2 linked regions of the Arabidopsis thaliana genome follow. The protein of the gene in region 2 interacts with the protein of the main gene of each other region in a pairwise test. Each region holds a gene or a part of one and is shown on either strand. Other genes may lie near its edges.

Region 1 (4,423 bases), on a different chromosome or scaffold from region 2:
GTAAGTTGTTTCTCTTATCTTGTGTTTCTCGGACTTTTTATTATATGCTTGTCGGGACATGCTTATCAGTTATTAGTAGCTTTTCTCTTGTTAATGCACTGTGAAAATGTCTGAACTGGTTTGTGTTCAAATATACAGCCTTTTAACGTGTATTATGTGAAGTGATGCATTAGTTTTGGTTGCACTTGCTGTGATTAACCTTTAGCTGATGTGCATTCGCCTTACGATGCGCTTCCTTTAGCTAATAGCACGGTTCATATTAAGAGCCATTAGGGTCTTAGATGTTATTATGCCTCCCGTTGTTCCCTTGTGTTTTTCTGCGCACTTGGTTCATGCCTGACAAGAACTCATGCTTTTGGTGATGTTAGTGCTAATCATAATTTTGAAATAAATGTTTCTTAACTATATACGTCTATGCTAAAAGAAATAATATCTCTGCGTCTCATCTCAATAATCATCTCATAAACTTATCCTAAACACATGAGTTATTTGTCTCGCTGAGTTTTATTGACTTGTAATTGTTTTTGTGTTTACTGAAAAATAATAGGTTTGCAAGTATTTTCTGGATGCTGTGGAAAAGAAACAGTATGGGTGGTTCTGGTCATGCCCCAATGGTGGCAAAGAGTGTCATTACAGACACGCGCTTCCTCCTGGATATGTCCTTAAATCTCAAATGAAAGCCCTCTTGGAAGAGGAGTCATCGAAGAAGCTGGCAGTTGAGGACGAAATCGAAAACGAGGTTTAAAATACTCCTCAAGTTTCCCTCATAGCTGCTAGGACCCGGTACTTGATTTGTGAGACCCATGTTTTCTTGTTCTATGTTTCAGCGTGCAAAACTGCAAACCGCAACACAAATGACTCCTGCACTATTTATGGAATGGAAGAGGAAGAAAATTGCTGAGAGAGATGCCGGTTTGGCTGCTTCTCAAGCGGAGAGAGCTAAGAACGACCGTATGAGGTAATCCCCATTCATCATTCTGTTACATATCCATCTCCAGTGTGACTCTATTTTTGTCCTTGGAAGCTGATTCATTGTGTGGATTTGTAACCTCAGTGGTCGGGAGCTGTTTCTGTCCAATGCAAGCTTGTTTGTGGATGATGCTGAGGCTTGTGAAGAATACGAGAGGGAAAGAGAGCAGGAAGAGACTGAACAAAAGGTGAGCTCTCTCTCTCTCTCTCTCTCTCTCTCTCTCTCTCTCTCTCTCTCACTCACTCATCATTTAAAACAACCAAGTCATGTTAATGGAATCTTGAGTTTTTTGCTTTTCAGGCAAAGAACAAAGAAGCAGAGGCAGGGACAAGCAAGAGTAGTGGTGATGCTGAACAGAGTTCGAAAGAAGTCAATGAAGAAGAAGAAGATGACGATGATGATGATGATGACCTAGACATGGATGAGCTGGATGAATTGGAAGCAAGCTTGTCGAAAACATCGATCCAGATTCGTGAGCCAAACGACGAAGGGTCATCTTGAAATGAAAAATGGTCTAAGAGGAAGAGGTGGAGGAGAGAAAGCACATGTTTTGTTTTTGTGTACTTTCAATAGATTGGATTTTGCAGACACAAACCCCATTTTGGGGTGTTGAATAATTTCTGTTACTGTTTTACAGTCTTAAATGGCCTCATCAAAGAACTAGTAGTATCTTTTTTGTCCAATCATTTTCATCTTTCTTTGTTGTTGTTAATTTTATCATGATGTGTAAATAAAAGGTCGTAAACTTACTAGAGAAAATAAAAACTACAGAAATGTATTAAAAACAAAGAATTTTAATCAATTCTTATGAATATTTAGTTGTTTTATTGATATTTATAAATAAAGAACAAAAAATATCGGCGATATAAAAAGAGGTAAATTAATCTGAGGGCAAAAATAAGAAAAGCATCCAATTTCGTCGGAAGAAGAAATCGCCATGGTAGCCGCAACAGTAAACCTCGCGAACATGACATGGACGTCGTTAAATTCAAATCCAGCAATCTCTTTCTCCATGTTAAGCGGAATCAGAAACTTGGGCATGTTACCTTTCAGGAGATGTCTAAAGCCGACAGTTATCGGAATCGCGTCGTGGCCACCACTCCGTTGTTCTTCTGTTAAGGCTATGTCTTCATCATCGTCTTCGTCTGGATCGACATTGGAGGAGACTGTTAAAACGACTGTGGCAGAGAACCCTGTCGTTGTTTACTCCAAAACCTGGTGCTCGTAGGTTCACTATACTTTTTGGTTCAATTAGAGGAATGGGTTTTGTTAATTTATGATCTAGTTTGTCAATATTGATACTTTTACTGGGTTTGTTCTTTTTGGTGGTGAAGATACTCGTCTCAAGTGAAGTCCTTGTTCAAGAGTCTTCAAGTTGAGCCACTGGTTGTTGAATTGGATCAACTTGGTATGCTCAATTCTTTACTTTGGTTTGCTATATGGGTCTGAGTAGTTTGCTATATTGGTTTTGATAATGTGTGTGATATTGTTTATATCGATCAAGGAAGAGCTGGTTACAAGTGCCCTAATGTTTCAGCATTTTGACTGGATGAAATTAATACTTGTTTCCAACTTCTTCTTGTTTATCTTCTGGTTCATTTGGCTGCTTGCTTGAATTGGTTTGTATGTTTTTTGATTAGATTTTGATGGAGGATTGATGATGGTTAGGGGGGTTTCTAATGGCCTAAGATAGCTTTACATTTCAGAGATTCTGTGTCTTGTTTATGTGAAAAATTTACTTCCACTGTAGTTTTCCTTGGACCAATGACTTGTTGATGAAGAATCAACGGGTAGGCTAGTACTTCTAATGGCTTAAATTTTTCAAATTGAAGATTCTTTCCTGCCTTTGAATCTTAGACAGTATGCTTCTATTTGTTAGAAACTATTATGTTGCTATCTTCTTAGTTATCTTTTCTCGTGTCAAGATTTGGTGACTTTCCAAAACCATTTGTTCTTTCTTGTCTTGTTTAGTTTCTTTGGGTAAAACATCTCTGCCTCATGATATTGGTCTGAAACATTTACAAAAGTTTTGGTGGTTTTTGGCGTTTCCAGGTTCAGAAGGGTCGCAGCTGCAGAATGTGTTGGAGAAAATTACTGGACAATACACTGTTCCCAATGTTTTCATCGGTTAGTTGTTTCATCATTTAAGCCAGTTACTAACTATACTCTGATCATTTTTCTTGATTATTTTGCCTGAAAACAAAACTATCGATAAAATCTTAGCCACTACATTTGCTATGACCATCACTTATCTAATTTTGATATCATGTTTTTGTTCATGACCAGGAGGCAAGCACATTGGTGGCTGCTCAGGTACAATCTCTCTTCCTTTCTTACCTCAACACCGAGATTTTTCTAATATGTAATTGAGATCGTCTTTGTGTATTTTGGCACCAAGATAGATAGTACTCAAGATCTTGCTCAATGTCTTGTGATTTTTCTGGTAACTTGACCTGCATATCATTATTGTTGAACAGATACATTGCAGCTGCACAATAAAGGAGAGCTGGAAGCAATTTTAGCTGAAGCCAATGGAAAAAACGGTCAGACCTAGAGATTTCTAGAGATGAAACTGGTTGGTGATTCTTCATGTTTCCTTATTGAAGTCGAGATGATTTGCTGTTTGAATTTACTGTCTATATAGAGATTTTCAATAAGAATCTTGTGTTTCTTTCTACGTACAAAAAACAGTCAATGAGTCATGCTGGGTTCTGTTACTAAACCGGAGTTGCTGAGTTTGATCCACACTACTTGGAATTTGCAATCATTTTTGGGTGGCTAAATGCATATTTGGAAATCGATCTTGAGATTGTAAAAGATAAAAGATGAATTGTTGGTTAACTTTTTGGTACATACGGTTTTGTTTAAGATTACAAACAGACGAACCGGTTTAGAGATAAACCATGTCTCTCATTTTACTTCTTCCACCTCGTCCAATGCGTAGTTGTTGGTCGATATATTCGCGTAATTCACCTTGGCGAACCGGACCACAACCGGATATCGGGTCTTCGGGTCCTGACAATTTAGACCGGAATATAAGATGAAACGATATCTAACCGTTAGATCGTTAACTTCAAAAGTAAATGCATTACCTGATCAACGGCCACAACTGATCCAACGTTCTTGTACCAGTATGATTCTTTCCTTAGAATCTTGACCTGTAAGTCCTCAAAATTGTTTATAAATTTCACAGTAGCCCTATAACTCTTAATATGTATACTAAATAGACCCAGAACTTATTGATGATACCCAGTTTAGCTCAAATATTAGTCCAATCTTCTCTACTAGCATCTAATTAAGCTTGAATTTTCTTCTACCACAAGGGTTAGTTCCTTTTAATCCTGATCTAGAGGTCCAAAAACTTCATATAAGTTTCACATTGACCCCATACTTACAAAATTATTCTAAATAGTCCAGAAACTTTATTGTAATCCAAACTTGGCTATCATCAAT
Region 2 (3,482 bases):
GCTTCGTAGAGCTCTTCTTTTATATGAGAAACTGTAATCTCTTCTTGTTCTTGTTCTTGTTCTTCATCTTGTTGTTGTTCATTTGGGGAGGAACAAGAACTCTGTTCTGTGACTTTCCCGATGAACATGGGTCTGAGCCTAAATGAGTTGTCACTAAAACTCAGCGTTTTGCCATTAGAACTGGTGAAAGAGACTAATACTTTCACGTTTCCTGTTCTTCTCGAGATTGCTCCTCGTGAAGCTGCCATTGATGGTGGCTGGAAAAGGTTACTCGTCATTAGCAGTTTATACACCAGAATCTCTAAACCCAATGGAGCTTAATAAGAAGTAGAAGAAGAAGATGGGATTTGAGGAAAAAGAGAGAGAGATAGATTTATGGGGAGGAGAATGGACAGTTTTTTTTGGTTATTTTATCCATCTTTTAGCATCTATCTCTCCCCCCCACCATACACTGCACTGACTCTATTATAAAATTTAGCCAATCCCATTGGTCTTTTTTTTCTTTTTTAAGATGGTGTCATGGTAAAATTCTCAAAAAAATCTCCATCTAAATTGAGAAAAACCCAATTTTTGTTATATTTTGCAACCAATTGCATATGTTTTAAAAAAGTGTTTACACTTCATCAAAAGCAGTAATCGGAGTACAGTAACCACAAAGTATCAACATAGTAAATGCTCTGTTCTTTGTCACAAGGCTTTTAAAAAACAGAAATTCAGGCATCTTTGGTTAAGGTTGCAGAGTCTTGTGATGGTGGCTTCCATTGTTGTGGAGTCTGAGCTTTCTTAATAGAGAGAGCATGAATCTCTTTCATTTCTTCTTCTAGCGCAGCATTCACCATACGATGCCTCTCCAGCAATCTCTTCCCTTCGAATTGTTCAGAGACAACCTCCACTTCAAAACTCGAACCACAACTGCAATAAACAGTTTTGCTGATATTAAGAACAAGAAATTATGCCATAAGCCAGAGAATCAAATGTGTATTGACAATCCGGTACTTACCCTCCAGATATGTCAATGACTTCCTGGTACACACAAAAACAAACAATGTCACTAAAAAATTCTAAAAGCTAAAGATTGAAACAATTGGAACACATGAATCAAGTGAAAAGGGAAATAGATTGACATTGAAGTAACTTCAATCTTCACATGTTATAAAGCAAAGAAACTATACACATCCTTGGATCTGCTTTTTGAGTTCTAGTTCACAAAAAACCATGACACAAATAAAATTTTCCGACAAGAACACTCACTACTAAGTTGCTAATACATCAGGAACACTACGTCATCAAATCCTGAGCTCAGTATCACACTGCATCAAATTACACCTAACTACGCAAACAACCACCTTTTATATTCTGTTTCAGAGCTGAAAGACAACACATAGTGATGTATAATCTAGATGCTGAGATTATTACAATACATAGTACCTCTTATGATCCAACTATCAAAGTGTATGATTTTGATCAAAGTGAGCAGGTCAAAAATCTCAAATTTGGCAATTTTCCCAGATCAATTTGATGATTAGGGTTTCAAAGTTTCCCACAAAAGTTTCAAACCCTAATCAATAGATGAAATTGAAAGAAGAAAGCAGTATAAGAACACTCACGAGATGAATTGGCTTAAGTTTCGAAGTCAATGAAGCTTCGACTTGCTCCTTCGTCACCATCTCTCTCTCTCTCTCTCAAACAAAAATTGAAATCCCTAATTACTGTACTCATTGAATTAGAATATTAAACCATACGCTATTTGGTTTTGGTTTAGCGAGAGTACGGTTTAGTTTGGTTCAATTGGGATACCATTCGGTTATCGACAATTCCAAAATAATAACTAGGGTTTAAGCTCTGCTTTCCTTTACTTCGTCTTCCTCACTCCTAAAACCCTCTCAGTCTCTCCATTTCCCGGAGCAAAAATAGCTCTCCGACCATGAAGTTTGGATCTTTACCATCCAAATCCCTTCTCTTCCGCCTCTCTTCTTCCTCCACAACCCAATCTCACCGTCGAACAATTACCCTTTTCATCACTAACATTCATTCCTCTCCATTCTCCACCACAACCACCTCCGGCTCCAATTTCGTCTCCGGATCCAGCCATTCTCCCTCTCGACGTCCTCAGCAAGACGAAGAGTCCCGATCCGTTAGGGTTTCGGTCTGGTGGGACTTCCTGAGCTGTAACTTACCTGTAGACACCAATGTCTACAAAGTAGCACAATCAATCACCGCCGCTATCAGAAACAGCGGAATCAAAGGACCAATCACAATCACAGCCTTCGGTGACGTTTTACAGCTCCCCAGATCAAACCAAGACGCTCTCTCCGCTACAGGAATCAGTCTCACTCATGTTCCTAACGGTGGTAAGAACAGTGCTGATAGATCTCTAATCACAGATCTTATGTGTTGGGTTTCTCAGAATCCACCACCAGCTCATCTTTTGCTAATCTCTAGTGATAAGGAGTTTGCAAGTGTGTTACATAGATTGAGGATGAACAATTACAACATTTTGCTTGCGAGTAAATCATCAGCTCCTGGTGTTTTGTGTAGTGCTGCTTCTATTATGTGGGATTGGGATGCTTTGATTAAAGGAGAGTGTGTTACTGGTAAGCATTTTAATCAGCCTCCTGATGGTCCTTATAACTCTTGGTATGGTCACTATAGGATTCCTCTTCTTGATCCATTTGCTATTGCTACCACTACTGAGCAATCTTCGTCTAGTGTGAAAATCGAAGAACTATCCGAGTCTGTGAATTCGAATGCTGTTGTTAACCTTCGTCCTATTCCAAAAGAAGTTGTTGATAAGATTCGTTCGATAGTGAGTTTATATCCCAAGGGGGCTGCCATTACAGAACTACGTGCTGAGCTGAGTAAGAGCAACTTGGCTATTGATAAAGATTTCTATGGACATAAGAAGTTTTCGAAGTTTCTTTTATCCATGCCAGATATCTTACAGGTTACTACAGTAAGTGAAGGCTTGTTTATGATTCGGGCTGTTACCGAAAAGAAGCCTCCGATGCGGCTTGATTCTAGTCCTCGTTTGTCTACTGCTGTTGATCAGAAGATTAAAGATAAGGAAACTGTTAATGCTCCATCACCAAAGCTAATTAGCGATGTAGAGCTTGCTGCTGAAAGAAGAAGAGATGGCTTACTTGGAAAGAAGCAGGAAAAGGTATTGGAGAGTGATAAAATTGTTAAAGAAGAATCATCAGAGAGTTCTCAAGACCCAATTCTGGTCGGCCAGAAGGATGTTAAGGCAAATGTTAAACCCGTCGAGACGAATCAAGTCGCTCTTGTTGCGTGGAGTGATTCGTCCATGGAAGATGGCTTTTTTCAAAAGCTAAAAAGACTGTGGTATGGTTCACCTGAGATGGAATTAGAGCATCTCCCAGAAATGAAGAGCGTTTCTGGAAGTGGAGACACACATAGAGAGGATAATGACTTAAAGTCATCAAGTCAGGGAAGTGGAAACAAACATAAAGAGGATAAGGACT

What was found. The genes of interacting proteins can lie anywhere in the genome.
Region 1: the proteins of AT5G09830 (region 2) and AT2G20270 interact in a two-hybrid assay, tested with the Arabidopsis thaliana proteins (one study listed by BioGRID).

Annotation. Positions count from the first base shown.
Region 1 is NC_003071.7:8,737,102-8,741,524, reverse strand, and holds AT2G20270 (Thioredoxin superfamily protein), read left to right. Parts: upstream 1-1,864; 5' UTR 1,865-1,907; coding exon 1,908-2,194; intron 2,195-2,304; coding exon 2,305-2,378; intron 2,379-2,941; coding exon 2,942-3,097; intron 3,098-3,256; coding exon 3,257-3,283; intron 3,284-3,447; coding exon 3,448-3,524; 3' UTR 3,525-3,739; downstream 3,740-4,423. Other genes in the region: AT2G20280 (Zinc finger C-x8-C-x5-C-x3-H type family protein), read left to right, coding at 548-739, 828-958, 1,055-1,157, 1,271-1,471; PSAE-2 (photosystem I subunit E-2), read right to left, coding at 3,881-3,985, 4,063-4,128. UniProt on the Arabidopsis thaliana protein: May only reduce GSH-thiol disulfides, but not protein disulfides.
Region 2 is NC_003076.8:3,057,103-3,060,584, forward strand, and holds AT5G09830 (BolA-like family protein), read right to left. Parts: upstream 1,724-3,482; 5' UTR 1,668-1,723; coding exon 1,608-1,667; intron 1,024-1,607; coding exon 1,001-1,023; intron 913-1,000; coding exon 714-912; 3' UTR 501-713; downstream 1-500. Other genes in the region: AT5G09820 (Plastid-lipid associated protein PAP / fibrillin family protein), read right to left, coding at 1-278; AT5G09840 (Putative endonuclease or glycosyl hydrolase), read left to right, coding at 1,925-3,482. UniProt on the Arabidopsis thaliana protein: May act either alone or in interaction with glutaredoxin as a redox-regulated transcriptional regulator, or as a factor regulating Fe-S cluster biogenesis. The GRXS17-BOLA2 heterodimer binds a labile, oxygen sensitive iron-sulfur cluster.